7 linked regions of the Macaca mulatta genome follow. The protein of the gene in region 6 interacts with the protein of the main gene of each other region in a pairwise test. Links are inferred from orthologs where the notes say so. Each region holds a gene or a part of one and is shown on either strand. Other genes may lie near its edges. The genes, in order: NUFIP2, ARFGAP1, SMAD9, GLRX3, NLK, GRN and C10H22orf39.

What was found.
Region 1: the proteins of GRN (region 6) and NUFIP2 interact in binary tests that used the Homo sapiens proteins (3 or more experiments, as listed by UniProt). The link is inferred for Macaca mulatta from reciprocal best matches to the Homo sapiens genes GRN and NUFIP2.
Region 2: the proteins of GRN (region 6) and ARFGAP1 interact in binary tests that used the Homo sapiens proteins (3 or more experiments, as listed by UniProt). The two-hybrid records come from large-scale screens. The link is inferred for Macaca mulatta from reciprocal best matches to the Homo sapiens genes GRN and ARFGAP1.
Region 3: the proteins of GRN (region 6) and SMAD9 interact in binary tests that used the Homo sapiens proteins (3 or more experiments, as listed by UniProt). The link is inferred for Macaca mulatta from reciprocal best matches to the Homo sapiens genes GRN and SMAD9.
Region 4: the proteins of GRN (region 6) and GLRX3 interact in binary tests that used the Homo sapiens proteins (3 or more experiments, as listed by UniProt). The link is inferred for Macaca mulatta from reciprocal best matches to the Homo sapiens genes GRN and GLRX3.
Region 5: the proteins of GRN (region 6) and NLK interact in binary tests that used the Homo sapiens proteins (3 or more experiments, as listed by UniProt). The two-hybrid records come from large-scale screens. The link is inferred for Macaca mulatta from reciprocal best matches to the Homo sapiens genes GRN and NLK.
Region 7: the proteins of GRN (region 6) and C10H22orf39 interact in binary tests that used the Homo sapiens proteins (3 or more experiments, as listed by UniProt). The link is inferred for Macaca mulatta from reciprocal best matches to the Homo sapiens genes GRN and C22orf39.

What each region holds. Positions count from the first base shown.
Region 1 is NC_133421.1:38,014,760-38,019,249, reverse strand, and holds the start of NUFIP2 (FMR1-interacting protein NUFIP2), read left to right. Parts: upstream 1-1,638; 5' UTR 1,639-1,652; coding exon 1,653-1,929; intron 1,930-4,490. UniProt on the Homo sapiens protein: Binds RNA.
Region 2 is NC_133415.1:116,137,974-116,141,952, reverse strand, and holds part of ARFGAP1 (ADP-ribosylation factor GTPase-activating protein 1), read right to left. Parts: intron 3,753-3,979; coding exon 3,666-3,752; intron 3,089-3,665; coding exon 2,992-3,088; intron 603-2,991; coding exon 546-602; intron 1-545. UniProt on the Homo sapiens protein: GTPase-activating protein (GAP) for the ADP ribosylation factor 1 (ARF1). Involved in membrane trafficking and /or vesicle transport.
Region 3 is NC_133422.1:16,483,313-16,487,291, forward strand, and holds part of SMAD9 (mothers against decapentaplegic homolog 9), read right to left. Parts: intron 461-3,979; coding exon 203-460; intron 1-202. UniProt on the Homo sapiens protein: Transcriptional modulator activated by BMP (bone morphogenetic proteins) type 1 receptor kinase. SMAD9 is a receptor-regulated SMAD (R-SMAD).
Region 4 is NC_133414.1:142,216,161-142,219,881, forward strand, and holds part of GLRX3 (glutaredoxin-3), read left to right. Parts: intron 1-1,833; coding exon 1,834-1,873; intron 1,874-1,960; coding exon 1,961-2,053; intron 2,054-3,721. UniProt on the Homo sapiens protein: Together with BOLA2, acts as a cytosolic iron-sulfur (Fe-S) cluster assembly factor that facilitates [2Fe-2S] cluster insertion into a subset of cytosolic proteins.
Region 5 is NC_133421.1:36,729,797-36,734,558, forward strand, and holds the start of NLK (serine/threonine-protein kinase NLK), read left to right. Parts: upstream 1-1,603; 5' UTR 1,604-1,634; exon of another isoform or gene 1,635-1,826; 5' UTR 1,827-2,732; coding exon 2,733-3,190; intron 3,191-4,762. UniProt on the Homo sapiens protein: Serine/threonine-protein kinase that regulates a number of transcription factors with key roles in cell fate determination. Positive effector of the non-canonical Wnt signaling pathway, acting downstream of WNT5A, MAP3K7/TAK1 and HIPK2.
Region 6 is NC_133421.1:68,721,706-68,726,185, forward strand, and holds the start of GRN (progranulin), read left to right. Parts: upstream 1-1,593; 5' UTR 1,594-1,626; exon of another isoform or gene 1,627-1,898; intron 1,899-1,902; 5' UTR 1,903-2,034; intron 2,035-4,480. UniProt on the Homo sapiens protein: Secreted protein that acts as a key regulator of lysosomal function and as a growth factor involved in inflammation, wound healing and cell proliferation. Regulates protein trafficking to lysosomes, and also the activity of lysosomal enzymes.
Region 7 is NC_133415.1:33,265,450-33,268,214, reverse strand, and holds part of C10H22orf39 (synaptic plasticity regulator PANTS), read right to left. Parts: intron 2,085-2,765; coding exon 1,959-2,084; 3' UTR 1-1,958. UniProt on the Homo sapiens protein: Negatively regulates long-term potentiation and modulates adult synaptic plasticity. Stabilizes the interaction of RTN4 isoform A/Nogo-A with its receptors, inhibiting clustering of postsynaptic AMPA receptors at synaptic sites.

The sequences.
Region 1 (4,490 bases), about 31 Mb from region 6:
ATTGAGGAAACAGTCCATATGTCCACTGCTGAGTGAATAAACAAAATGTGGTATATACATATAATGGAATATTAGTCAGCCTTAAAAAAGAGGGAAATTCTGATATATGCTACTCTGAAGACATTACGCAAAAACGCTAGTCACAAAAAGACAAATACGGTACAATCCCACTTAAATGAGGTACCTAGAATAGTCAAATTAGTAGAGACAGAAAACAGAACAGTGGTTATCAAGGGATAGAAGGAGGAGGGAAAGGACAGTATTTTTATTGGGTATGAAGTTTCAGTTTGGAATGATGAAAAAGTTCTGGAGATGGATGATGGTCATGGTTCTACAACAATATGAATGTACCTAATGCTCCTGAACTGTACACTTAATATTAAGATGGTAAGTTTTATATTATGAATATTTTACAATTAAAAAAATCCCCAATCTATAACATACATTGAGAAAAGTACATTTTACCTGTATATTGTTTAACAAATAATCACCACCAAATATATGTATAATCACCACCTAGCCCCCAAAATGAAATATTATCAGTAACCTGTGTCCCTCCCCATCACAACCCTCTTTTCCTGAGTAAGCACTATCATGGCTCTAACATTTGCTTTTGAAAATCATACTGTGATGTGGTAATGCAGGATAAGTTAAATCTACACTACAACACGCTACAGAATATTTCTTTAAATTTCATTTTTTCCATAAGTGCAAAAAAAATCCCACTTAATAACTTTTAAATGCTCTTTCTCCCCTTCCTTTGCTCTTGAAACTTCATATTCTAAAACCTATTTTGGTGCCATAGTTGACCTCACCTGCAGTTTAATTAAAAAAAAAAAAAAAAAAACCACAACCTTCAGTGTAGATTTTCATTCCTCCCGCTCCCCCTTGCCTCCAACTACAAAGAAACAATGATTTAAACCCTTTGTGCCCTTTTAGAAAATTACACAGATACCCCATTGTGGAACCCTATAATCCCTTCGTGGAAAGGAAGAGATTAGCATATGAATACAAAGCAAAATGAATCCAGAATACAAAATGATCTACTGGATTGTGAAGCTCTTGTATTCTTAAAAATGTATTTATTTCCTCTTTTTGTATTGCCCCTTTAGTGGTCTTAGGGTTAAGGGAATTGAGCTTCCCTTTCTGGTTACCCGGAAAAGGATTAACAACAAAAAACAACAAAAAACAAAAAAACCACCAGATTCTAATAGGTGCAAAACCAACAGATGGCTCCCAGCGCCAGTGGAATCGCCAGTGGAATCTGCTACCCTCGACATGAGCTTGCTTGCCGGCGAGGAGTGTAGAAAGTGCTGTTCGCAGACTGCGTGGTGAAGGAGAGAAAGCGACAGAAGAGAGAGCCATAGTGCTGACGTTGAAGGCCCGGCCCTGTGAGGTTGCACAGGGTAAGTGGCGTTGGCCAGGCGGCAGCGGCGAAGGGGAAGGAAAGAGGATTTGAGCTGGGGGCGGGGCTTGCGGTACAGCGTGGCTCCTGATTGTTGGAGCGCGGCTGCCAATCTCGCAGAATCGCTCGGTTAACCAGTGCGCTGGCGAGACGCGCTCAGATATACTGAGTGAGCCCTGAGAAGCAGTCTCAGATCCTGACGGTGCAGCAGCCCGCAGCCTCAGCCAGGGAGTCCCAGCCGCTTTCAATGGAGGAGAAGCCCGGCCAGCCACAGCCTCAGCACCATCACAGCCACCACCATCCGCACCATCACCCTCAGCAGCAGCAGCAGCAGCCGCACCACCACCACCATTATTATTTCTACAACCACAGCCACAACCACCACCACCACCATCATCACCAGCAGCCTCACCAATACCTGCAGCATGGAGCCGAGGGCAGCCCCAAGGCCCAGCCAAAGCCGCTGAAACATGAGCAGAAACACACCCTCCAGCAGCACCAGGAAACGCCGAAGAAGAAAACAGGTCTGGGAGGGAGGACGGGTGGGGGAAGGGGGTTGGGGGTGGAGGACAGGGGAGATGGGGGTGGGGCTGGATCCGAGAAGCGCGGACGGGGTCGGGATGTGTGTGTGTGTGTGTGCCCTCCGGCTCTGGGGATGCCCCTTTCATTCTAGGGCTCGGGCTGAGCAATGGGGTTTGCAGCGCCCTCCTTCCCACCAGCATGGGAGAGGCCCAGCCAGGCCAGCGTGACCTTCCCGGCCCCCGCCCCGGCTGAAGGGAGACCCACTGGGTCGGCCTTGCAAGTCCAACCTCGTTATTCTTTTCCATTCACCTCTCTGCGTCCCTGGAGTTACCTCAATATGGGGGCCCTGAGATGGGGTAAACCTACCCCCCAAAAAATCCCTCGAGGTGTAACTCAGGAAGGCCTAGCGAATCCCGCCTCGGATGGTGTCGCGAGACCCTTTTGCAGGCGGCCAGGGGTGGGTAGGTAGGCAGAGTTGAGGAAGTGCCCCTCACCCGCCACCCCAAGCCCACCTGTGGCCTTGGGGCTCCCCATCTTGTTGGGGGGGGCTGTTGGGACCCCTCATCTCACGGGTCGTTTCCACCACTAGACGCCTTTTTTGGGCGCCGGACCCCGCAGTCTTGTCCCGCGGCTCCTCCCAAGGCTGGTGCCCCGGGCCCGCTCCCCCCAGAGCCGGCGCGGCTGGAATGTTCTCTCCTCCTCGCGGGGCCGCTTCCTGTCCGCCATGTTGGAAGCCGATTCCTGTCACCGACTCCGGCCCACTGAGGAGCGGGGGGGAAGGGTGTCGAGGGCCACACGGCGCGTCGGAGCTGGGTGACCTGGGATCACCACCGGCCGCCGCCTCGCCCCCTGCACTGCGGGGGCGCCGTCGCCCCCCGCTCCGCGGCCGCCCCTCCCCCGTCACCGGCCGGGGTTGTGTAACCCGGTGGCGGCGCGAGGCCCCGGGCGGGTCCCTGGGGTGAGGGGCGGGGGCGGTTGGGGTGGGGGAGGGAAGCGGCCACGAGGGGAGCGGCCTGCGCAGGGCCCCGCGCGCCAGCGGCCGCGTTTCCCGCTCCCGGGTGCGGCGGGAGGCGCGGGCAGTCGGGGCGGGGAGCCGGCCTCGAAGCGGAGCTGAGGGGGAAGGAGGCCGCGGGCGGCGGCGGCGGCCGCGGCGCTCCTAGGGGCAGGAGGCCTGGGGGGGCGGCGGGGGGATTCATTTTGGGTAGAGGCGGTGCCTGAGGCCGGGTGGGGTACCCAGCGGGAACCCAGCTCCCCGGTCACGAGTTTCTCTGCCACAGGAACCTCGTCTCCTGCCAGGTTCGCTCACGACTCCGCCTCTGAGGCTTTCACTTGGGCCTTTTCCTTCTAGCAGCTCATTTTCTACAAAAAAAAAAAAAAAAAAAAAAAAAAAATTAACAAAAACCTTGTTCCATTCCCCTCCCCAGCCGGCACTTACCTTCTGAGCTTGGGTAGTGTCTTTGAGGTGAGAGATTTTTTAAAATGTTAGGATGAGGAACAGGGCGAGCTTTTTGACCCCCTTTCTTGTCCTTAAGGGTGAACCCAAGTGGCTCATCCATGAGGTTAGATTACTACCATCTTGCCTCGGATGAGGCTTCTCTCCATGTTAAAAAGAAAGGTGTTTTTTCGTATTTTAAAGTCGATATTGATCCCCAAACTAATATTAACAAACGAGAAATTGAGGGTAAAAGTCATGTAAGAAAGTATTTCACGAGAAGTAAGTTTAAAAGTTTATAACCCTCGCATATTTTGAAAAATAAGGGCTCTATATAAATCGAAGAGAAAGGAAGCATAAAGCGTATGTTAAACCCAGCGTATCAAATTTGATAGAAGGAATTGTTGAGAGCTGGAGAAAAACTAAGTGCTTTTTAAATTGCAGATTGTAACTTGAAGACTGAAATTAGAGTGTCAGATTTTCCATTTTGGGAGTTCGTTAGGGACCCGATGGTATGCAACAGAAGTGAACACGTAACACACGAGTTAGGTGTTTAATCCTAAAGATTTAGAGCAGTTTAAAAACTGTTAGGGACTACATAACTAGATTTTTTTAGCGTTAGATCTTGTTCAAAAGATGAGAAAATACTACCGTATTATGGCTGCATAAGGCAATATTACTGTTGAGACTGAAAAATTGTATTTCATCGGTCAGGTAAATATACTCTTGCAAGACTTCTCTCTACATGTAGAAGCAGCCCCTAAACCATTCAAGGTGGTATTCCTCCAAATATTTCTTATCTCGGAAGACGTGGATAAAGAGGAGGAAACTGGAATTAGGAGTTTTGACAGAGTATAAACAATTTGGGGCGAGTGTATGGTTTGGTCACAGTACTGTTGCTTTGACATGCATTATGCTAATAACTAAGAAAACATTACAATATTTTTGAAATTTATCTGTAACATGTTGAGGTAGGCTTTTGTAACCCATTACTCACAAACCTAAAGAGGAACAGTTTTTTTTGTTTATCCAGAAGAGGGCGCAAGAGAAGGCCAAATGTGTTGAGTAATTTGTTTCTAATTGAAAAGCTAGATTTATCAGGACTCAAGTTTTGCTGAGTCTTTTGGAAGT
Region 2 (3,979 bases), on a different chromosome or scaffold from region 6:
GCGGCGAAAGAGAGAAAATGCTACCAAAACACGACCTGAGCCCCAGAAGCTCTAGGGCACAGGGCACCCGAGACCTGCCCTGCTTGGTTAGGGTGGAGTCTAGGAATCAATGGGGCTCACATCTCCCTCACTTTCATCAGGGCGGGACCCCTTTGCCAGCAGCTGGTCTGACACAGGAGCGGCTCCTGACAGCCTGGGCTGCTGTGTTCCTGCAGAACCTCCAAGGCCTTGGGACCACCCTGGCTGGTACTGCGTTGGCACAGCCCATGGTTGGAGCACCCAGAAACCCTCTGTGTCCCACATCCCTTCTGCAGCTCCCAGAACGAGGTGGCCAGCGCAGTGGCTGCACACCTGCACCAGTTACCAGTGAACAGGAAATGAGTTTGGCCCCGCAGGCCCTGAGCGGGTACATGAGGCAGCCACCCTGGCATGAGGAGGGGAGCAACGTGGCGGGAACAGCCCCCTCCTACGCTCTGAGAGGCAGCGGCCCCCACAGACCAGCAAGCGGCCGGTGTCCTGAGGGCCTGGTGGGGACAGTGACTTACGCCCTCCTTGGCTGCTGAGGCAAACCGGCTGGCTCCAGTGGTGAAGCTGCTCCAGCCCTGAGGAAGGCGACAAAGAGCAGCTGCATCAGGACTGGGACCCAGGAACCCGGCGCTGAGCAGAGCATCTCAGCAAGGACGAGGACCAGGCCCCTGCCCTGTCCTGACCCCACAGCGCCTGCTTCGCCAGGCTGCTGGAGCAGTACAAATGGACCCAGGGCACAACGGACACGCGCCCTCTACCCCAACCTCGCCAACTGCAGTGCTCCCAACACGGTGCAATCCAGCCTCCTGTGGATCCCACCACCCTCAAGCAGCAAGCCCACACTGCAGGGCAGGACCCCTCCCCAGGGCCAGCGCTCCCTCCTGCCTCCCTAGAGGAACAGGCAGAGGTGAGGCATGTGGGGTCACAACTGCTGTAACCTGCTCTAACCTGCTCTCCTCCCCACGGCTGGCGCTTCCTCCTGCCTCCCCAGAGGAACAGAAAAAGGTGAGGCGTGTGGGGTCATGACCGCCGTAACCTGCTCTCCTTCATCTATGCTCAGGGTTTCCTCCTGAGTCTCCCGAGATAATTAAAGCTATTTAGAAAAATAAATGTCTCATTTCAATCACAACTCATCCTCTTCCTCCTAAAGGAAACACAAAGGGACCCTCACTTGAGAGATCACTAAGCTGAACTGCCTTCCCCAGAAAGCAGATGCCCAGCAAAAGGCAGCAAAAGGGCCACACACAGGCTGGAAAATGCACTTTTCTTTCCTAACGATGCAGCAATGACTGCAAGAGAAAGCAACCATGGCCGTCAGTGGCCCGAGGTGCAGCCAGGCCATCCCGAGCAACTGGAAGCCACACACACCTGGGGGCTCCCAAGACTCTATGGCAGGGCTCCTTGCAGATGAAGCCATCCGTTTTAAACCTGCTTATTTTTAGCTAACATACTTTGAAGATCTTGTCATGTTAGTATTAAAAAATCCTTTCTGGCCAGGCATGGTGGCTCGTTCCTGTAATACTGGAACTTTGGGAAGCTAAGCAACTCAAGAGGCCCAGGTGGAAGGATCGCTTGAACCCAGGGTTCAAGGCTGCAGTGAGCTATAAATATGCCACTGCACTCCAGCCCTGGCAACAGAGCAAGACCCGTCTCAAAATAAATAAATAAATAAATAAACAAGTCCTTCCTTGGCTCTCCGCGCAAGCTCCCATTCACGCGGCCCCTGTGGCCAGAGTCTCAGGTTGCTAGTGTCACAGACAATAATGCTGCGATGAATAAAAATCTTTCTTTTTTTTTGACACGGAGTCGTACTCTGTCGCCCAGGCTGGAGTGCAATGGTGCTATCTAGGCTCACTGCAACCTCTGCCTGCCAGGTTCAAGCAATTCTCCTGCCTCAGCTTCCTTAGTAGCTGGGGCTACAAGGCACATACCACCCTGCCTGGCTAATTTTTATATTTTTTTAATAGAGACGAGGTTTCGCCATGTTGGCCAGGCTGGTCTCGAACTCCTGACCTCAGGTGATCCGCCCGCCTCCACCTCTCAAAGTACTGGGATTACAGGCGTGAGCCATCACACCTGCAAGAATCATTTTTTAATCATTTTAATCATTTTTAATCATTTTAAAGACGGTAAAAATTTCCTTGGAAAATGAAAATCAAACAACATGTATTTCCGTTAATAGGAAAATGGCAACAAGCCCAGGGTGTCCTACTCTGAACATCTGACCTGGAGCTTCCAGGCACCCCCAGACCAGAGGTGGCCCTGAGTGACCTCGGGTAGCGCCCGAGCGGCTTCCCAGCACGGCCAGACCCCCAAGCACAGAGCCAGCTTCCCACTGCACACAGCACTCCCTCTGCAGAGAACACGGCCAAGTGGCTGCCGTCAGAGCCCTTGGGTTCCTTGGAAGAACGTCCGCTGTTAGATTTGAAATACACACATTTTGTGTCAGAAGTAAGTAAGTGTTGGTTGGGTGCGGTGGCTCACTCCTGTCATCCCAGCACCTTGGGAGGCTGAGGTGGACAGATCATCAGAAGTCAGGAATTTGAAACCAACCTGGCCAACCTGGTGAAACCCCATCTCTACTAAAAATACAAAAATTAGCTGGACGTGATAGTGGGTGCCTATAATCCCAGCTACTCAGGAGGCTGAGGCAGGAGAATCACTTGAACCTGGGAGGCAGAGGTTGCAGTGAGCCAGAATGCGCCACTGCACTCCAGTCTGCAGCCTGGGCAACAAAGCAAGACTCCGTCTTTTAAAAAAAAAGAAGTGACTGAATTTGGGATCTGAAAAATTTAAGCCACATTTTTGCAAGAAAACGTCACTGAAGGTAAGGGAGGGGTCCTTAGATCACAGCAAGGCCAAGAGCACGTGTTCCAGGACTGCCACACTGCCCCCGACGGCCCGGCGTGCCCTCAGTCCGGGTCTGCCCATGGGAGATGCTCTGCAGGGCCCACAAGTCCTCACCGAGTACAGGGAGGACATGGCGTTGTTGAGGAAGTCATCTTCTTTCTTCTGAGGCGGTGGCGTGTTCCCAAACCCCACGTAGCGATTCCCCTGAGCTCTGAAAACAAAGCGGACAAGAGGCTGAAGATGCTGGCGTGAACCCTGCTCCTCCTGAAGGTGTGGGGCCCTGAACAGAGGTGAGGCTGAGGCTCTGAGGGATGTGCCAGCGTCCCCCAGCACAGGACATGCACGCTGCCTCCCGTAGCAGCAGGAGCCTTGGCAGCTCCCCAGCAGCAGACAGACGTGCTTCCTGCTCATTTAAAAAGACCCTCCTGCCACATCACCAGAGAGGGTCCCCAGCAAGTCCCCAAACCCAGTCATAGAAGTACTGGAAGAAGGATCAAAACAACTTAATATGACAGCTTTGGGGATAAAAATTCACGTATAGGTCCAGCAAATTCCAAGCAGAAAATGTGTTATGCTTTTCTTCTAAGTGTTAGCTCTTCTCTACACCCAAGACCCCCAATCCACACCCGGGTGGGCAGCCGGGGCTCACTGCAGTCAGACCCTGCACCGGCACGTACGGGTCCCACACCCACTGCACACGGGAGGCCCCGAGGGAAGCAGCCCTACCCAGCAGACTGAACCCCGTGGGTCTGGCCTTCCCCAGGCATCCCCAGCTCTCAAGTCCTTACCCTTGATAGGAGCCGAGGTCATCATTCAGCCAGTCTTCGAAAGCCTTGTCCGAGGAGGCGGTCACACTCTGCAGCTGGCCAGAGGCTCTGAAACCAAGAATCAAAGGCTGGTGAGGTCAAAACTGGGTGAAGTCTGAGGGAACCCCAGCAGCACCCCCAGAACCATGTGGCCTATGTGGGCAGCGCCTTCACGTCACCCGAGAGCACCTGAGGCCAGGGTGGCCTTCAGCTCTGAGCGGATGTTCAGGCTCAGGTGCTGAAACCCAGCAATGCCAGCCTCATGGGCACCACGAGAGGCCTCCGCAGTGGGCTCT
Region 3 (3,979 bases), on a different chromosome or scaffold from region 6:
ACTAGAGCAAAAACATGTTGTATCTCCAGGGTAACTGCTTCAAAATGGGTATAGTCCTAATCATTTTAAGGCTGATTGCTTTGTCAACGGTTTACACTATATGAATGAGAGTTACAATGACTGTCATTGTGACTGTTCATCACAAATCATCATGTTGGGCTTATTTTCCCGTATTTCCCCAGAGACCATAGTTCTTACTGACCTGAGTGTTGATAGGGACTCTCTGGCTCAGAAGGACTTCCTGGGGAGTGAGGGTAGCTGGCCGTGCACGGGGACTGGGAGAACGCGTGGCTGGGTGAGGGAGGGAGTGCAGAGCACGGAGGCTGCTGGAAAGAGTCGGGATAGGTGGCGTTGTGTGGCATGAGTGGCTCACTGTGCAGGGAGGCGCTGCGGAACTTGGCCAGGAGGCTGAGCTGGGGGTTATATTCACTGTGTCTTGGCACGAGCACAGGAGGCAGCACTAGGATCAGAAAGGAACAGGGCAGTTAGAATTGAACATTGCTCATCAGTACACAACAGAGCGGATACTTGCTGTTCTTATCTATTTTTTTGATGATAGAGCTGTTTTTGCCCCTTGAGAACTACTCCCATTAGTCATTGTGCTCATCATAAAACTGTCGATTCAGTCCCCATCTCCACCTAAGAAGCGAGCACGTGAGTAAGCTAAGGTAACAGTCTTCTCCTTGTAACCCGAATCTTAAGCAGAATGTCATCGTTCACAAAAAATATTTGCAGAAGGATCTTTCCAGTGTCAGCATCTAAAGAGACCTGCTATTTATTCCTACCTTGGAAATGACCAGAGCTGCCCTAATACCTGGCCTTCTGGCGAACTGATGGTTACATCTTTCTTTAATTCTGCCAAATGAGTCTTTTTTCCCCCAAGGCAGAATCCATTTCTATTGCTTGCAATGAAACCCTAAGTGATGCCCAGAATATTTTTCCTCCAGAGATCATGTTGAATTATTTAGATGACCAGACACAATTTCAGGTTCAGTAGTGCTGCTGAAATAAAAACATTCTATGCGTCCTTAATGGAAAGATTTCAAGGTGAGTAATTAAAAGTTATTAAGTAAAATACAAACGGTGAATAATAATAAAAGTGACTAAGTAAAAGATAAGCAGCAGCAGGACACAGTGGCTCACGCCTGTAATCCCAGCACTTTGGGAGGCCGAGGCGGCCAGATCACCTGAGGTCAGGAGTTTGAGACCAGCCTGGCCAACACGGTGAAACCCCGTCTCTATTAAAAATACAACAATTAGCCGGGTGTGGTGGCGGGAACCTGTAATCCCAGCTATTCAGGTGGCTGAGGCAGGAGAATCGCTTGAATCTGGGAGGTGGAAGTTGCAGTGAGCCAAGATCATATCATTGCACTCCAGCCTGGGTGACAAGAGTGAAACTCTGTCTCAAAAAAAAAAAAAAAAAAAAAAAAAAGGTAAGCAGCAGTAAGAAAACATAAATGATGTTTGTTCATTTTACTATGCTTTTTTGGATTTCATTTTTTAAAAAGAATGTTACAGTTCTTGATTTTGATTCTATGCAAAATTTCAGAATAAATTCAAATTCTTAAGGGAAAGTTTTGCCTAGGCCCTCACGTCCTACCGACTCCTAGAAGGTTACAATGCCTGGCATAAAGTAGCTACTCCAAAAATGTTGTTGGAGAGCCATCTGCAACCAACATAAGTTCCAGACAGAGAGGCAAAGAAAACACAAGGGGGAAGAGGCCTAAGAAATAACAAAGGAAAACTTCAAAGAGCTACGAAGGACCTATGTCTTCATATTGAAAAGAGCCACAGAGTGCGCTGAGCTCAATTAATGAAAATAAGATCCCGACCTAGTCTTTCCATCTTGAATTTCAAACATTGCGGGATAACTGGAATATTCCAAAAGCTCCTAGAGGATCACCACAAAGTCACCTACAAAGAAATGAGAATCAACCGACCTCAACGTCCCACTCCTACCCTGGCTACTAGAAGTCAACGGACCAACACCCTTCTGAGGACAAATAATTCTTATCCCCAAATTCCACAATGGAAACCACTGGAATAACGAAAAACAAATACAAACTATGAACTAAAATACAGAAATCAAGGACTGAGAAGAGGAGGAAGGAAGAAGATTAAAATACAAGTGTGTGAGGCCAGGCGCGGTGGCTCATGCCTGTAATCCCAGCACTTTGGGAGGCCAAGGCAGGCGGATCACAAGGTCAGGAGATCGAGACCATCCTAGCTAATATGGTGAAACCCTGTCTCTACTGAAAATACAAAAGATTAGCCGGGTGTGGTGGTGGTTGCCTGTAGTCCTAGCTACTCAGGAGGCTGAGGCAAGAGAATGGTGTGAACCTGGGAGGTGGAGCTTGCAGTGAGCCAAGATCTCACCACTGCACTCCAGCCTGGGCGACAGAGAGAGACTCCGTCTCCAAAAAAAAAAAAAAAAAGGTGTGTGTGTATATATACATACATATAAATATAAATAAGAGTGAAATCCTCATCTTTTATGTTAGAGAGTCAATGACATCTAAAGGTCACAAATTTGGAAAGAGATATGTAAGCATGTATTATCTAGAGTTACTGTCATAATTCTTAGTAATAATAGAAAGAAATACAAAAGAACTAAGCAAGAATTGTTTAAAACAGTTTGTCTCTGGGTATAAACAGGACAGATCTTGGTTCTAATCACTCTATTGATTTGTCAGTCACAGGCAAGTATTAATAAAAACTCACAAAAAGCAAATGTTCTAAAACTGCTCTAAAAAATAAGGTCTTAAAACAGGTAAATGTTTTGGAATAAACAGACAATAACAATAACAGTGACAACCCCAAAGTCTGCCATCTGCCTTTGACATCATACATCTCTCTCTTTTTTAACAAGCAATAATTTTCAGTTACATGGACAGAAAATAAACTCAAAAGGGTAAATGAAAGGTTTTAAACTAAAATTGCTACAAGTGAGGGTGGCAGAGAAACAAATAATTTCTTCCCCTTTTACAAGCTAGTATTTGTATACGTATGTAGCCTATGACACCAGAGAATAAACATTCAACATCACCATGAAACAGTGACATGGATAATAAACCATTAAATTTCCTTTAATGTGTTAATATTCCACAACTATGCAGGAAAAAAATGATTATGTGCCTCATGAGTAGTCTGAAGTGAGGAGTTGACACAGCAAATGCGTATGGCTTCTTTGTCAATGACCCTTCATCAAAACGTTAACGATGTTCAAATAAACACTCACTTTTTTATGAAGAAGAATTTGAATAATCTCTGTGACTTCAGTTTTAATGTAAAATATCTACGGTGTATTCCTAACACTGATAAAAATATAATGCCTCCTATCCATCTGAATGTAGAGACTTCTATTTCTTCATGGCCTGTAGATCTGAGGCACCAAGAGAAAATAAATGATATATTTCCTTTATTGTAACAACTATCTTGATAATATATTTTTACCATCTGAGTAAAATCAAAGCCAGTGGATGTTTGCAAAGAAAACTAATGGTTTCATCCTAGTTGTGATTTGACCTGACTGGCTCAGTTGCCTTAAATGTGCACAGATCATATTTTTAAATACCTTCACTCAAAAACACAGCTATCCCTAATTACTTAATTCCACTTCTACATCTCAACTGCTGCTTGTAAATATGACAGTGTGCTTATAGACACTTATTCCTATCTTATGCCACTTTTAAATACCATGCTATCTTTACATCTCAGTGTTACCCAGGAGGAAACAGCGGAAGGAGTTACAGGGCACATGGGGGTGCAAAACAGAGCTGGAAAAAAACACTTTTGTCTTTTTTTAAAAAGTCATGTGGTTTTGATATAATATGAATATTTTATATAAAAAAGAAATTACACTCCTGAAATAACCTCTGGCCTAATGGAGTAAAATCATCATGTACCACAACAGTCTTGCATGGCTTCCACCAGACCCATGCCAGGTAAAGTGTGGTCTGAGGACTGGGGACCCTTGGAC
Region 4 (3,721 bases), on a different chromosome or scaffold from region 6:
TTCTTCACTCCTGCCCTGGGCCATACAGTGGGGGCTGGCTTGTTTTTGGTCATTTTGCTTTTTCTTTGTCAACCCTCTGCTGCAGCCCCACAGTGAGACACACACAGTCCATCCTTCCCTAAGCAGCACCAGGTTCCTCAGGTGTCTTCTGAGCCGACACACTGGGCCTGACCCAGCTCATGTCTGTGGTAGAACATCTTGGTAACTTGGCTTTCTGTCCCATATCTGTCTGATCTCCATTGTATTGAAAGCACCCTGTTGTCGCAGAGAGCAGGAGGCTACTTTGGGAGAGAATGACTCCCAGCTCTGGACTTGCTAAGCATGATTGGCTCTAGGATGAGTGAGGCCATCCAGGACCTCAGCTTCTTTTAACGTGAACAGACCATGCTCTTGTTTGGAGTCAAAGTATGTGGAGAAAACTCCTTTTTACTTTTTCTCATTTCTTATCTTTTCCTTTAGTAGCCAAAATACACATGCATGAGTGGCTGAGAACCAAGTGTATATTGAGGTTTGAAAGGTACCCTTTATGAATAACTCTTAGGAAGTGTATTGACTGTTAGGACGCCACATACATACACTTGGGCCCAGTGCTTCCTGGATCCTTTATGAATAGTTTTATAACTCATTGTTTTTATCACAGTATTAAGAGATCTGCCACCTTTAGTTAGTTCAGCTTGAACAAAGACTTACATTGGGTTTTTAAAAAAACATTAGGTTTACATTGGGGTCCTTTTTTGCTCTTCTTTCAAACATTCCTTTTTTGGTAATTGCTTCTGATTTATCCTGTCATTTAGTTTTTTTTTTTTTTTTTTTTTTTTTTTTTTTTTTACTGTTCCCTGCACCATAGACAGTTTCCTTGGGAACTTGTTTACTAAATAAACAAGATTTCCCTGTGATGGTTTCAGTTTTATGGAAAGTCTAGTTTTTTTTTACATGTAGCATTTTCTTTGACCACCTTTGGGAATTGCACCTGTACCCTCAGGCACCCTGCAAGGATTTAGGCATACATGCTTGCTAATACCTGACCACCTAACGGTGAAATCACTCTGAGTAGATACAGTTGGACATTCATGCAGTGATTTTTCTTTGTACGAGTAATGTTCATTGTACGGCATAAAGCCACAAAGCTTTCATTGGCCTTTTGTACATTAAAAACAGCGCCCTCTCTGAAATAAGTTTAAGTGTGGAAAGCATGTCTCCTGCTAAGGTGGAGGGAACTGGCAGCGTGGTTGTCATCTGGCTGCTGAGCCCTCCAGCCTCCGTCCACAAGCACTACTACTTCCTGCTCCACGGGCAGCTTCCAGGAGGTTAAGAAGCAGCAGCTGGGGGTGGATTAGATATTAGAAGTGGATGAGAGTGTTCAGTTAATGAAGGCTTGTGCAGATGGGGATGTGGGTCTGACCCAGGGGTTGGCAAGTTGCAGGTGGCTGCCCATTTTTGTAAATAAATTTATATTGGCACATAGCCACATCCCTTCATTTATATGTTGTCTGTGGCTGCTTTTGTGCTGCCCAGCAGAACTGAGCAGTTAAAACAGAGACTGGCCTCTAAAGCCTGAAGTGTTTACTGTCTCACTCTTTAAGAAGACGTTTCCCCATCCCTGGTCTAACCCAATATTGTCTGGAGAAAAATCTAGATAAAGTCGTATCTTGGAATGACTAATTCTGTGTAGTACCAGACAGATTAAGAAGTAAAATCATTTCCATTGGTCTGTAGTACATTTTGTTAGCAACAAAATAGTTTTCTTGATTATTTTAAAAACATCAAATGCATAGAGGTTTTACAATTTGATTTAACTGTATTTCCAGTTAAAATGTCTTCTCTTTCTTCCAGTGTTGAATATGAAACATTCGATATATTGGAGGATGAAGAAGTAAGTTCTGTGTCTGATGTTTCACCTTTGTCTTAGCTTTAATCATAAGGGCCTGACAGGATGGTTTCCGGACTCTTGTTTCTTTAGGTTCGGCAAGGATTAAAAGCCTACTCAAATTGGCCAACGTACCCTCAGCTGTATGTGAAAGGGGAGCTGGTGGGAGGATTGGATATCGTGAAGGTAAGTCAGTTCTTCTGCTCTTCTAAAGAACGGAGAAGACTTTGGTGTGTTTAAAAATGATTTCATATTGAATGGAAACTTGAGAGTTGTTTTTGACTCTTGTTTCCAGCCTGACTCTCAGGCATTTCTAGACCAGTATCACCGTTTCTGTGTGCATAAGTACCCTGCCATTCTCACTGTCCCCACCTGGCAGCCGGTTCTTACTTCCACACCTGAACTAGCCATTTCATCCCCTTTCTGTGGGGTGATCTTACCTGCCACTCAGGGTCCTTGTGAGATCCTGCTTCAGCTCCCAGCCAACAAATTATTTTTTCTTGCGTTACTCACCTGCCCTTGGGTGCATGGACCGACAGCAGTGTGAGGCCTATGGCCCAATGCTGCCCATCCTTGCCACAGAGGCTGAAGATCACTGCCCCTGGTCCCCCGAGAGAAAAAATGTAGGTCGCTTTTTGGTTTTCAGATGTTTGGAAATCTGTTATCTGTTAGATTGTAAGTGTTTTAGAGAAGACACCATTTCTTAGGTATCTTGAGTCCTTCCTGATGCTTTGTGTATTTTAGGAGTTCAGTAAATGGTTGTTGGATGAATAAGTGACTTTACTTCTTGCTTAAGTTTTAAATGGACATGACTTTGCTCATATTTAATATCTAGAATTTAGGGCAGGCCCACCAACTAGCACCTGTGTGCTCCATAGCTCTTTGATTAGCCCAAAACAGTAAACAGAAGCTGTAGCTTTAATATCTACCCACAGGCCCCACTGCACCCCAGGCCCACTGTGGGCATGGTGGTATCGAGGAGGGTGGTAGCCGGGTGGGTATAGAGAGGAGCTAGACAGGAATGTTGGGCAGGAATGCCAGGTTCTGCTCGGGGACAAGAACAAAACTGCCCCAAAAGGTGGGCTGCCGACTGCCCTCAGACCTTCCTCTTGCCTCAGTCCATTAGAGAATTTTCTGTGAGGTCAGATCTTCCGACTTTTTATGTGGAAAACAAATAGCAAGTAGTACTACTTCTAGTTATGTTGTAAAATAAATTTTTTTTTTTTTTTTGAGACGGAATTTCACTCTTGTTGCCCCGCTGGAGTGCAATGGTGCAATCTTGGCTCACTGCAGCCTTTGCCTCCCAGGTTCATGTGGTTCTCCTGCCTCAGCCTCCTGAGCAGCTGGGATTACAGGCGCACACCACCACGCCCCACTAATTTTTGTATTGTTAGTAGAGATGGGGTTTCACCATGTTGACCACGCTGGTCTTGAATTGCTGACCTCAGGTGATCCGCCCGCCTTGGCCTCCCAAAGTGCTGGGATTACAGGCGTGAGCCACCGCGCCCGGCCAAAATAAAAGTTCTTAACACATGCTTTTGTAAAGTGAAGCACTAGCGTACCACTGAAATGACATCAGCACTTTGGACCAATATGTTTTATAGAAACAAAGCTTGAGCTCCATTGACTGCAGAGGCTGTTTTTGTCCTGTGGTGGCCTCTGTTTTGTTTCCTGTGGAGTTCCAGGTTTGATCTCATACTTCTTCAACAAGCCAGTGAGACATTTTTCCTGGGGAACGGTCTCACTCCTGGAGGAAAAATGTTTAAGACTATAGCTCTTGTATAGCCCTGAAGCAGCAAAAACAGATCTGCATTTGTTTCTCCTCCCGTTCCCTCCCTCCCTCCCTTTGTCTCT
Region 5 (4,762 bases), about 32 Mb from region 6:
CGCCACTGCACTCCAGCCTGGGCAACAGAGACCATGTCCCTTCACCAAAAAAAAAAAAAAAGAAAGAAAAAAAAAAGACTTGATGATTGATTGATTGGAAGGGACAACGTGGACAGGCAAAGGAGGAATTGAAGATGACCTCCAAGTTTCTGAGTAAACTATGCAGTTTCGGTAGGGATAAGGTTCTGTAAGCTTATTATTTCACATTTTAAAAGAAGGGTAAATTCAGATAAATCAAGTGATGTAAAGGAAAGATGCTATTTTAGTAAGATTTCAATGACAGAAACTTACTTGATAGAAAATATGGGAGAGGCTGGAGGCGGTGACTCACGCCTGTAATCCTAGCACTTTGGGAGGCCAAGGTGGGAGGTGGGAGGATCTCTTGAGCCTAGGAATTTGAGACCAACCTGGGCAACATATTGAGACTCTGTTTCTAAAAAATTAAAGAATCAGCCGGGCATGGTGGTGCACATCTGTAATCCCAGCTACTTGGGAAGCTGAGGCGGGAAGATTGCTTGAGCCAGGAGTTGGAGGCTGCAACGAGCTAGGACTGTGCCACTGCAGTCTAGCCTGGGTGACAGAACGTAACCCTGTTAAGAAAGAAAGATGGAAGAAAAGTATTATTTTTGTGGCCAAGTTTACTTTTTTGTTTTAATTTGCACCAACAACTTTATCATCTGTTGACAGTGGAGTTCTGAATGCTGGAGATTCCTCCTCTTTTTGCCAAGATCAGGATTAACCATGGAGAGGACCGGCCGTAGACTATGAACTGTCAGTCTACTGAATTTCTTTTGTGACTGTCTTCTTGTTGAGTGACCTTGGACCTTGACTTTCTGAAGCTCAGCATTCCCTTTTTCTTCCCCTATTTTTGCCCCACACTTTACATCTTAAGTGGTATATTAGACGGCTCGGGGATCGGTGGACCAGTGGTGATTTGGGGTCCGCCTTCTTCGTCTAGGTCCCGCCCACTTTGAGACCCCACCCCTTTCCTAAGCCCCGCCCCTGGAAGAGGTTGTCTCGATATGACAGCAAATTCTCCACAATCCTGTCCTAGAGGAGCTATAAAGGGTGGGACTTACATCAATCTTTTTTTCCATTTGTCAGGTCAAGTGTCTATCTGGCCCAGGTGCCCGCATACTTCATTTTCAACCCAAGGATTGGTTACTCTGTTCTTTGCCTCTGGCTCATGATTGGTTCTTTCATTCCGCCCCTCTCTTCCAGCTTTTGCAGGCGGGATTAGCACGCAGCTTCCTGCTCCTGCCAAAAAATAAATAAATAATAAAAGAAGAAAAAAGAGGAGAGAGGCGAAAGAAAAATGTCACAAAGATCTTTGCTTTTTCATTGGCTTTAAGCCGTGTCGGTCAAGCCAAACTCTGCCTTTGATTGGTCTTTCTATCTGCCCATCCCGGATCGGGGGCGGGATTTCCCCAGAAGACCCACACCTTGTTGCCACTGGCCGAACAGTGCGCCTGTCTGAAGCTCCTGGCCCAGGATTGGAGGCGGTAGCGGACAGGTGGGCGTGGATTGGCTAGGGCAGCCGGTCAGTGCAAGGCGGGGGCGGGGCCTCGGCGGCTGGTTGCGCGTGTCCGCCGCTGGCTCCGGTCTATCCGGCTTTGCTAGGGGAGGTGAGTCCGGCCGCGGCGGCACCGGCGGCTGAGGAGGCGGCGGCTGAGGAGAAAGCGGCCGCGGCGGCTGAGGAGAAAGCGGCCGCGGGGACGGAAGCCGGGTGGGGGGGAGGGGGGGAGACGGAGCAGCCTTGAGCCCTGAGGGGCCGTCGCGCGGGGGACCCACCCGCTCTCCCCCCCAACCCTCCTCAGCAGAAGCAGCCGGCGGCGGGGGCAGGAGTCAGCCCGCTTCCGACCGTACTCCGCCCGCCTCCCGGGGCTCCTATTCTTTGGCCCCGGGACCCTAACCTTCTCCCGGGGCGGTTCCCGCTGTCTAGGCGTCCGAGCGCTGCCCACATCTTTCATTCTTCCTTGCACCTCCTTCCCTTCACTTTTGCCCTACCTCTCTTTCTCCTCTCTGTCCTGCTGTCGCCTCCTCTCCTCACTCCAGCCTCCTTCCCTGGCTCATTCTGCCCAGGAAAGTTTAGAACCCCCGCCCCCCCCTCCCCAATCAGGTCAACCTGACTAGGAGTAGGGGGAGATGTAGGAAGGCCTGAGAGTTCGAGGGGGGGGGGACGCTGGAAGCTGGTTTCCCAGAAAATTTCCCCCCATCTTCTCCATTTAGGGTAGTGGGAATTTTTTTTAATCCTGTTTTTGAGGAGGTGGTAGGTGTTTAGAAAAGGATGTGGGAATGGAAGGGGTAGATGATTCAACCCTCTTTCAAGATTCCAAGGGTGGTGTGTTACCTGATCCTTTTCGTGTGTGGAGTTCAGGGGGTCGGGAGGTTTGGCCTTTATTCCCACATTCAAAGTTGGAACCTCCCCCAAATTAAGAATGGAGTTTTAGTACCCACTTGTGGCAGGAATCCTGGGGGGAAGGGGTCCTTTTTTCCTTTTTCTTTTCTTTTTTCCTTTTTTTTTTCCTTTTGGCAACCCACACCCTTCCACACACGCTCACCCCAAAATTAAACACCAAGATCCTCTAACTTGTTTGGATTGACTGATGAAGACATAAAGCCAGTTACGCTCTATGTTTTTTGAGGTGGAGTGAGTGGTTTTTCTTCATTTTTAAATGGCCAAATGACAGCTTGACCCAGTTTGCTTTCCAATCAAAGGGCATTTATTTTGAATGTCTCTTTGTGGCGCAAGAGCCAACGCAAAAATGATGGCGGCTTACAATGGCGGTACATCTGCAGCAGCAGCAGGTCACCACCACCACCATCACCACCACCTTCCACACCTCCCTCCTCCTCACCTGCACCACCACCACCACCCTCAACACCATCTTCATCCGGGGTCGGCTGCCGCTGTACACCCTGTACAGCAGCACACCTCTTCGGCAGCTGCGGCAGCCGCAGCAGCGGCTGCAGCTGCAGCCATGTTAAACCCTGGGCAACAACAGCCATATTTCCCATCACCGGCACCGGGGCAGGCTCCTGGACCAGCTGCAGCAGCCCCAGCTCAGGTACAGGCTGCCGCAGCTGCTACAGTTAAGGCGCACCATCATCAGCACTCGCATCATCCACAACAGCAGCTGGATATTGAGCCGGATAGACCTATTGGATATGGAGCCTTTGGTGTTGTCTGGTGAGTATCCAAAGAAAAACACAACCTCTCATGGTTTCTTCTGATGGTTGTGATTGGGTGAGTGCATCCCTCGTGGTTTTCTCCATGCTGACCAAGGTGGAGCAAGCTTCTCAACCCAACTGTAGGAAGCCACCTTCACTAAAGTGGTAATGCATTGGCTGTCTAGGCCTAATGCATTGGCTGTCTAGGCTCATGGCAAGTTTTGGTGGAGCACCTTCTCATGAGCAACACACATAAGTTTGCTGTCTACCAAACTTTTCTGTTAGAACCTAAGCAAGCCACTGAACACAGCATCAGTAGATGAATGTATGGAATACTAACTCCTACAAAGACCTTGGTCATTTCGTGTGTTTGATTTAGTTTGGATCGGTTGCCCAGTGGCATTAAGTGTTAGCAACTGATCCAAACTGAATTCCTTTATAATACTCTTGTCATTACGATATACTTTGCATAACTACTTTCCTATCCTTCTGTCTTTTCACTCCTTATTTTGTGATCTTGATCTCGAGAAGAAAGATAGGATTCATAGTTGAACCAGTTAAGATCATTGCTTGAGTGGTTTATTTTAAACCATGGAGCTACAGTTGGGAAGTATGTAGCTGTAGCCTTTTGATAAGAATGCATTAAATATAGCATCACACATGAGTACCACAAATGAGGTTAGTAGACTAGCTATGCAGTGGCCCACATTCAGTGTAATGTTTTAGTGTCATTTAGTGCCTCTTAAGTTCCTATTATCTGTTGGTCAGTTGCTGTAGTAGGAAATAATACTTTTTAAACAAATGACACTACTTTTGCTAGTGCTAGGACATTTGTAAAAGCCTAAGGGCTTCTTAAATATAACATTTTGGTCTATTTGGTCTAACCTTAAAAAGATTAGTAGTTTATAATAAAATATGTTTATTCCTGTCAAAACTAGAATGAACTGGGTTTTCTCCCAAGGACTAATGATTACACTTTGGATAGATGAATTGATATTTTCAGTGCATTCAAAAACTGATTCTTGTTACTGTCTAGAAAAGCCCCCATTACCATAGGAAAATGAACTCTTTGGAACTGGCCCGGTAAATATCTCCTTTCGTTATTGTTTTTGAGGCTAAAATTGATGGGCGCATCGTTTATGCATTTTAACTGGCCATCTTATTTATATTTCAGATTTGACAATCTAGGCTACTAAGTGATCTCATCCATTTTTTAAAAAAGCTAGTAGAGTCCAGTATTTTCTCAGCTAATCCCCAAGGAAGTTTCTGCTGCAGCGCAGCCCTTTCTCCAAAGTGTGTGGGATTCAAGGTGGGAAAGAGTATAGCTGGTAATGGTGCCTCGGTCATTCTGCTCAGGGACCCGCCTGTTCCTGCCTTCCTCTGTCCCTTCCACAGAGTATCTAAGAGGTTTAACTGTGAACTTCCTATTCTTGCCTAACTCTTGAGGATTTCCAAGCTTTGGTTGGGGGATGGAGCAGACAGGAAAATGGTTGTTCCTTGGTTTAAATTTTGTCATTGATTTACTAATAACTTTTAGCACTTGTTTGGAGCCTGTTAGATGTGGATGCTTGCTGGCTTTTTTAGTGCCTTA
Region 6 (4,480 bases):
TCACCCTCAGCTCCAGTGTCTTGCTCAGGCTGCAGCAGTCTCCATCCCCTGTGCAGACACTGCCCTTCCTCCACAGCCCAGTACCAGGTTTTCCCTGGGCCTCTCCTCTCTCCTGGCCCATCTCCCATCACCCATCTCTGCCTGGCCCAGGCCCATTGGCACCGAGCAGCCTGACTCTCGTCACTGGCTAATGTGTTCTGTGGTACATTTTCTCTCCTCACCCTCCCATATCAATTCCTCGAAGGCAGGGCCAGGGGAGACTAGGAAGCCACTTCCCTTTCGACAGCCCCCGCCACAGCCCTGCCTGTGCCAGGCACCTAGCAGCTCCTGAAGCCCACTGGCATTGAACATGGCATTCAATCCCTGCCAAGCCTGCCCTTCCCATCTGGTTTCCCAGGGCTCTTCCCAACACACCTCCTCCACCTGCCAGTTAAAATCTTCCCAAACTCAGCTCAAGGAGATGCTTCTAAGGTGGAATGAAATATCTTCTTCCCCACCTGTAGACAATCTACTTCCTCTCCCCACACCTGGCAACTGGCGCACGACCTTGTATATTAAATTAGATTCAGCCTGAGACTGTCTCCCACCAATCCCTGCCCCCTGTCCTGCTGAGCACCTGGAGGAAAGGGCTTTTGGGCTGTTTATCTTTGTCCTGGAAACCATCCTTCAACTCACTCTGGGCCCTGCCTAGCATGTCATCCGAGTTTGCAGAATAGGGCAGGACAGGACAGGGCAGGATAGGATAGGATAGGAGCGAGTGAGCCCGGTAGCTCACACCTGTAATCCCAGTTCCTCGGGGGCCTGCGGTAGGAGAATCGCTTTGGGAGCAGGAGTTGCAGGCCGCAGTGAGCTATGATCAGCTTGGGCGACCAAGCGAGACCCTTTCTCTAAAACAAACACACAAGGTCGGGTGCGGTGGCTTAGGCCTGTAATCCCAGCGCTTTGGGAGGCCGAGGCGGGCGGATCACGAGGTCAAGAGATCAAGACCATCCTGGCCAACATGGTGAAACCCCGTCTCTACTAAAAATACAAAAATTAGCTGGACTTGGTGGCGCGCGCCTGTAGTCCCAACTACTCGGGAGACTGAGGCAGGAGAATCGCTTGAACCCGGGAGGCAGAGGTTGCAGTGAGCCGAGATCGTGCCACTGCACTCCAGCTTGGCGACAGAGTGAGACTCCATTTCAAAACAAACAAACAAACAAACAAAAGAATAGAAAGAGGAGCACAAATATTCCCAATTCATAACAGTCCCTCGCACTGTCAATGCCCCAGACACGCGCTATCATCTCTAGCAAACTCCCCCAGGCACCTGCAGGATGGGTGAAAGAAGGCGACGAGCACCAGCTGCCCTGCTGAGGCTGGCCCGGCGTCACATGATTCTCCAATCACATGATCCCTAGAAATGGGGTGTGGGGCGAGAGGAAGCGGGGAGGAGAGTGATTTGAGTAGAAAAGAAACACAGCATTCCAGGCTGGCCCCACCTCCACATTGATAAGTAGCCAATGGGAGTGCGGCAGCCCTGATCCCTGGCCAATGGAAACTGAGGTAGGCGGGTCACCGCGCTGGGATCTGTAGTCTGAGCGCTGCCCGGTTGCTGCTGCCCAGGGACCGCGGATCCGGACGCAGGTAGGAGGGCGGCCGCGCAGACCTCTGGCCTGCTCCTGCCCAGGGGCCCGGCCAGGGCCATGTGAGCTTGAGGTTCCCCGGGAGTCTCAGCCGGAGACAAGACAAGAACCGCTTATTGAAACTCCTTGGGGGTTCTGATACACTAGAGGGAGTTTTATGGGAAAGAGGAAGCAGTAACTGCAGTGACCTCTGTTAGAAGGGGGCTTTCTACCTCCCCAGCATTCCCCCAAAGCAGGGACCACACCATTCTTGACTCAGCTCCACCCCTGTCGGTAGGTGCCGGCTTCTTTCCCTCTCGTGGTGGTGGTGGGTGGTTCCCGCGGCGGCCTGAAGCCGGAGGGGCGCGCGACCCTGGGCTGGGAGCTCCGAGGGCCTGGGAACGGGACCTGAAACCTTGGCTTCTCGAAGGTAGTAGGGACTTGGGAGTGGTGACTGAACCTGGTCTGGCTCCTCCTTACTTCCTCTTTTTGGGGGTGGGACGAGCTAACTTCCGCCTCTCCCAGCCACTTTTTCCTGCTCAGTTGCAGCTAGGCTGGCTCCCCTTTTGGGAATTTCTTCTCCCCTTGGCACTCGGAGTTGGGGGCTGCCACCTAGTGGAAGATAACGGAGCTAGGGTCTTGAAGAGGCTGCTGTCCCCTCTGGCTGTTTTGGCGGTGTAGGGTGGCGTGAGAGACTGCGACTCGCCTCCTCATCCCTGTTTCTGTATGCGTGTGCATGTATTCAGTAGAAGCATACACTATACTCCCTCAACTCAGGGTAAACAGGAGGGGCCATGCACAGGTAACTCACCAGAGAGCTGAACACTCCTGTGCAGACAGACTCCCCTTCCCAGCAAGCCAGGGCAGCGGACAGCCTGCTGAGAACACGCAGGAAGTAGGCAGTGCCAGCTGCAGGTGTTTTGCCTGGGAGCTGTGGGGCTGAGGAGAGGGTCCACTGTCCAGGACCAGTCAACTGCATCCTTATCTGTCCAGGAGGTGGCCTCTTCGGGATGCTGAGTTAGGGGAGGGGCACTTGAGGAAAGCCAATTGGAGCAGAGAGGATGTGAGTGACTGAGTGGGTGACATTTCCTGCCCTTCCCCCCTCCAATGGTATCCACACATAGACTCGTGGGGGAACTGAGGCACAGACAGGGAGCAACTTCTCAGGCCCTCACAGTTGGCAATTCCAGGATTAGGACTCAAGTGCGATTTCCAGGCAGTCCCTGTTTCTGTCGTACCTGTTGCACCTATCCCCCTGGGGCGTAGGGGTCCATTCTCAGGCACTGCCCATTGTGCCACTAGTGATATTAACCCAGGTCCAATACGCTCTGGGGCCATCAAAGCCTGTCGTCACCATGACCTGATGTGTGACATGTTATCGGTGTCCCTTGGTATCTTCATGGAACTGGTTCCAGGACCCCAAAGTCTGTGGGTGCTCAAGTCCCTGATACAAAATGGTGTGATATTTGCATATAACCTATACATACTTTAAATCATTTCTAGATTACTTATGCCTAATACAATGGAAATGCCATGTTGGCTGGGCACGGTGGCTCATGCCTGTAATCCCCACACTTTGGGAGACTGTGGTGGGTGGATCACCTGAGGTCAGGAGTTCGAGACTGGCAGCCTGGCCAACATGGTGAAACCCCTATCTCTACTAAAAATACAAAAATTAGCCAGGTGTGGTAGCAGACTCAGGAGGCTGCTCAGGAAGCTGAGGCAGGAGAATTGCTTGAACCCGGGAGGCAGAGGTTGCAGTGAGCTGAGATTGCGCCACGGTACTACAGCCTGGGCGTCAGAGCAAGACTCCGTCTCAAAAAAAAAAAGAAAAAAAAAAAAGAAAAGAAAAAGAGTGCAGCACACCAACATGGCACAAGTATACATATATAACAAACCTGCACGTTATGCACATGTACCCTACAACTTAAAGTATAACAATAATAAATAAATTAAAAAAAAAAAAAGAAATGCCATGTAAATAGTTGTGATCCTGAATTGTTTAGGGAATAATAAGAAAGAACAATCTGTACATGTTCAGTATAGATGCACCCATCCTAAGCCTAACTACATAGTATACCTCAGCAACAATGTAACATTTTCTGGGGTTTTTGTTTTGTTTTGTGAGACGGAATCTCAGTCTCGCTCTATCACCCAGGCTGGAGTATGGTGGCACGATCTCCTCCACTCACTGCAACCCCCACCTCCTGGGCTCAAGCGTTTTCCTGCCTCAGCCTCTTGAGTAGCTGGGATTACAGGTGTGCACTACCACGCATGGCTAATTTTTGTATTTTTAGTAGAGATGGGGGTTTCACCATGTTGGTCAGGCTGGTCTCGAACTCCTGACCTCGTGATCCGCCCACTTAGGCCTCCCAAAGTGCTGGGATTAGAGGTGTGAGCCACCACACCCAATATTTTTTGATCTCTGGTTGGATACGGAGGGCTGACTGTACTTAACATCTCTGAGCTTCAGTTTCTTCCTTTGAAAGTAAAGGTGGCTGGGCGTGGTGGCTCACGCCTGTAATCCCAGCACTCTGGGAGGCCGAGGTGGGTGGATCACGAGGTCAGGAGATCGAGACCATCCTGGCTAACACAGTGAAACCCCGTCTCTACTAAAATACAAAAAATTAGCCAAGCGTGCTGGCAGGCGCCTGTAGTCTCAGCTACTCAGGAGGCTGAGGCAGGAGAATGGCGTGAACCCAGGAGGTGGAGCTTGCAGTGAGCTGAGATAGCACCACTGCACTCCAGCCTGGGAGACAGGGAGAGTCCGTCTCAAACAAACAAACAAAAAAGTAAAGGTGAGGCCAGGTGTGGTGACTCAAGCCTGTAATCCCAGCACTTAGGGAGGCTGAGGCGGGTGGATCACCTGAGGTCAG
Region 7 (2,765 bases), on a different chromosome or scaffold from region 6:
TGATGTGGAACTTGAGTAGTGAAGGAGGAGGCAAAATATGACAGTTGCACTACAGAGGCAGGACTCAATGCTTCCTAACCGAGCATGCAGTCGCACACTGCATACCTTGCTAAACAAGCAGGTGGCAGGGAGCATGGCTGCACTGAGGGAAGGCCCCTCATGGACTGGGGTGCTGGCTGGCATGCCCTGGCTTTTGCTGCACTCTCCAGCTCTGCCCCATGAACCTGAAGGCAGCTGCTGCAATCCCAGGCATCACATGCAGACTGCCAATTCATTTTATTATTTTATTTTTGAGACGGAGTCTTACTCTGTTGCCTAGGCTGGAGTGCAGTGGCACGATCTCAGCTCACTGCAACCTCTGCCTCTGGGGTTCAAGCGATTCTCGTGTCTTAGCTTCCTGAGTAGCTGGGATCACAGGCGCATGCCACCATGCCCAGCTAAGTTTTGTATTTTTAATAGAGATGGAGTTTCACCATGTTGGCCAGGTTGGTTTCGAACTTCTGACCTCAAGTGATCCACCCGCCTTGGCCTCCCAAAGTGCTGGGATTACAGCAGACTGCAAATTCAGATGCCCCTTCCCTGTGTTTAAGAGTAAGAAAAACCTTGTAGATCTCTAGCAGTCTTCTTCTTTTCCCTCACTGGGTGGAAATGCTCATTAATCCAGCCACAGCCATGCTGGAGGCACCTTGGTTGCCTTAGACACATCAATACTCCCCTGATGATGGGGGAACGCTGGCTCCGCTGTAGATGCTCCTGCTCTTGGGATCCTGTGAACACAGCCCCCACCCCCACCGTTCACAGACACAGACAGGGGCTCTTAGGGAGCACAGGAGAAAACACTCAAGCAGGGAAATACTGTTCTTTAATGGACACCCTTCTGAAGTGATGGATTGTTCTACCCCAAAGAACAAATTTAAAGATATTCAACTTGCTGCCTGTGTCCAGGAAGAGAGCAGGGAGGGTGCTGGGTACAGACCCAGCCTAGCCCTCAGCATCACATAACAGGGCCACCACAGGATGAGAAACCATTCTATTAGTAATAAAGAGACTGCTTCGAGAAATAGTGTTTTTGGTGGTTCATACATTTTAAAACACCTACAAGAGAATAAGCATACAAGTTTCTAACACTGTCCAGACAACACTGTTATATATAAAATCTAACAAATGTAAACTTAATTTTCAGCTTCTATTTGAAATCAGATGAAATGGCTTTTGATACATTAACCACCAGGGGAAATTTTTTTGAGGGAAGGAGTCCTTAATTCCACATGTCTTGGACTTGGATTTCTTAAGGTGAGTCCACAAACCCTCTTTATGCAACGTTGTGTGTTCTGTAGCTGTGTGCATTTCTTAAAAACTAGAGTCTCCAGGGGCCGACCTGGGAGCCTAACAAGTGAAGCCTGCTGGTGCAGAGGGGCCAGCAAGCCCTGCCTGCTCGGCACACCTGCCTGCATGTGCAGTGGAACTGAGTGGAGCAGAGTGTGAGTACTCACAATGTTCACCAAACCTGAGACATAGCAGGCAGTTTCCCAAGGACTAGGAAAGACATTCACAGTGGCGCAACTGTTTAGCTACCTCATTATGACCCACCTGTGTGTCCATACAGGTCAGGGCTACCCTTCAGTTTACCTGAGAAGCCTAGACCTCAGGACCGCCATCTCCTATGCTACTGTGCCCAGCCTGACCTGGCTGCTCACAGGTACCTGGCCATAATGCTTAGCCTCCTGGAAGCTCTGAAGCGGTGCAATTGTCCTGCAGAACATCGCAGCGTCAGGGTACCCTGCAGGCTGGTGAGGGGTGGGCAAGTAGGACCAGCAATGTCCTGCTCCACGTTCCAAACCCAGCAAGAGCTCACAGGGACCCACTAGACTGTGTAGGCTGTCACAGTCCCCAGGGTTTTGCAACAGCAACTTGAAACAGACCAAGGAAGCTGCACAGGCCAATGGCAGGGGTGCTTGTCACTCGTCCTTCTCCTGCGGCAGAGGGAGATGCCAGTCTGGAGGGGGGCTCTGCCTCGGGGCCCACACCAGGATGTGCTTCCGTGCAGCCTGGACTCGTGCCCGTTCGCTCTCACAGAGGGAATGCTGTGCAAATAAGACTCTAGTCACTCCCCAGGCTCTGAGCACCCTCAAGACCCCTGTACCTCCCCCCAAAACACAGATGGACAGGAAGGGGCCTATGGTGCACACCACTGTGCAGCACAGCTGCATCCACCTTGGCGAGTATTCCATATTAGCGCACAGAGATTGAGATCATTTTGTTCTCACAAACTACTGTGAAAAACTACTGAATAGGTCATACTAATTTGAGGAATTTTAAAATATCTTCTCCCGGACCTCAGGGCTCAATGGCTCTGGCTGACCTTGTGAGTCTGGGGCGTATTCACCTGCTGAGAGTGAGCCTGGGGGTGGAGTGGAGAGGAGAGAAGAGTCTGAGACAGCAGCTGTGGGGAGCTGCAGGGAGGAGTGTGGTAGGGAAGAAGGGAGGAAGACAGGGAAGAAATACATGCCCAGGGTATCCTGGAAGGGTGGGAAGAGTCCAGAGGACAGACCACCTGCCTGAGTGGTGCCACAAGTGCCATTCAACCCATCAGCTTCTTCTAGCTACTGTATCCCAATACAGACACGGGTCAGTGTATCACAACACGGGAGACCTTCGCTGTGGGCCCTTGGTAAGTATCAGGTGCTATGTGAGCCTCTTTACACAGATCATTTAATCTGTCTACGTCTGTCTTTGTTCAAGCTCTGTTGCCTCAAATAAAATAT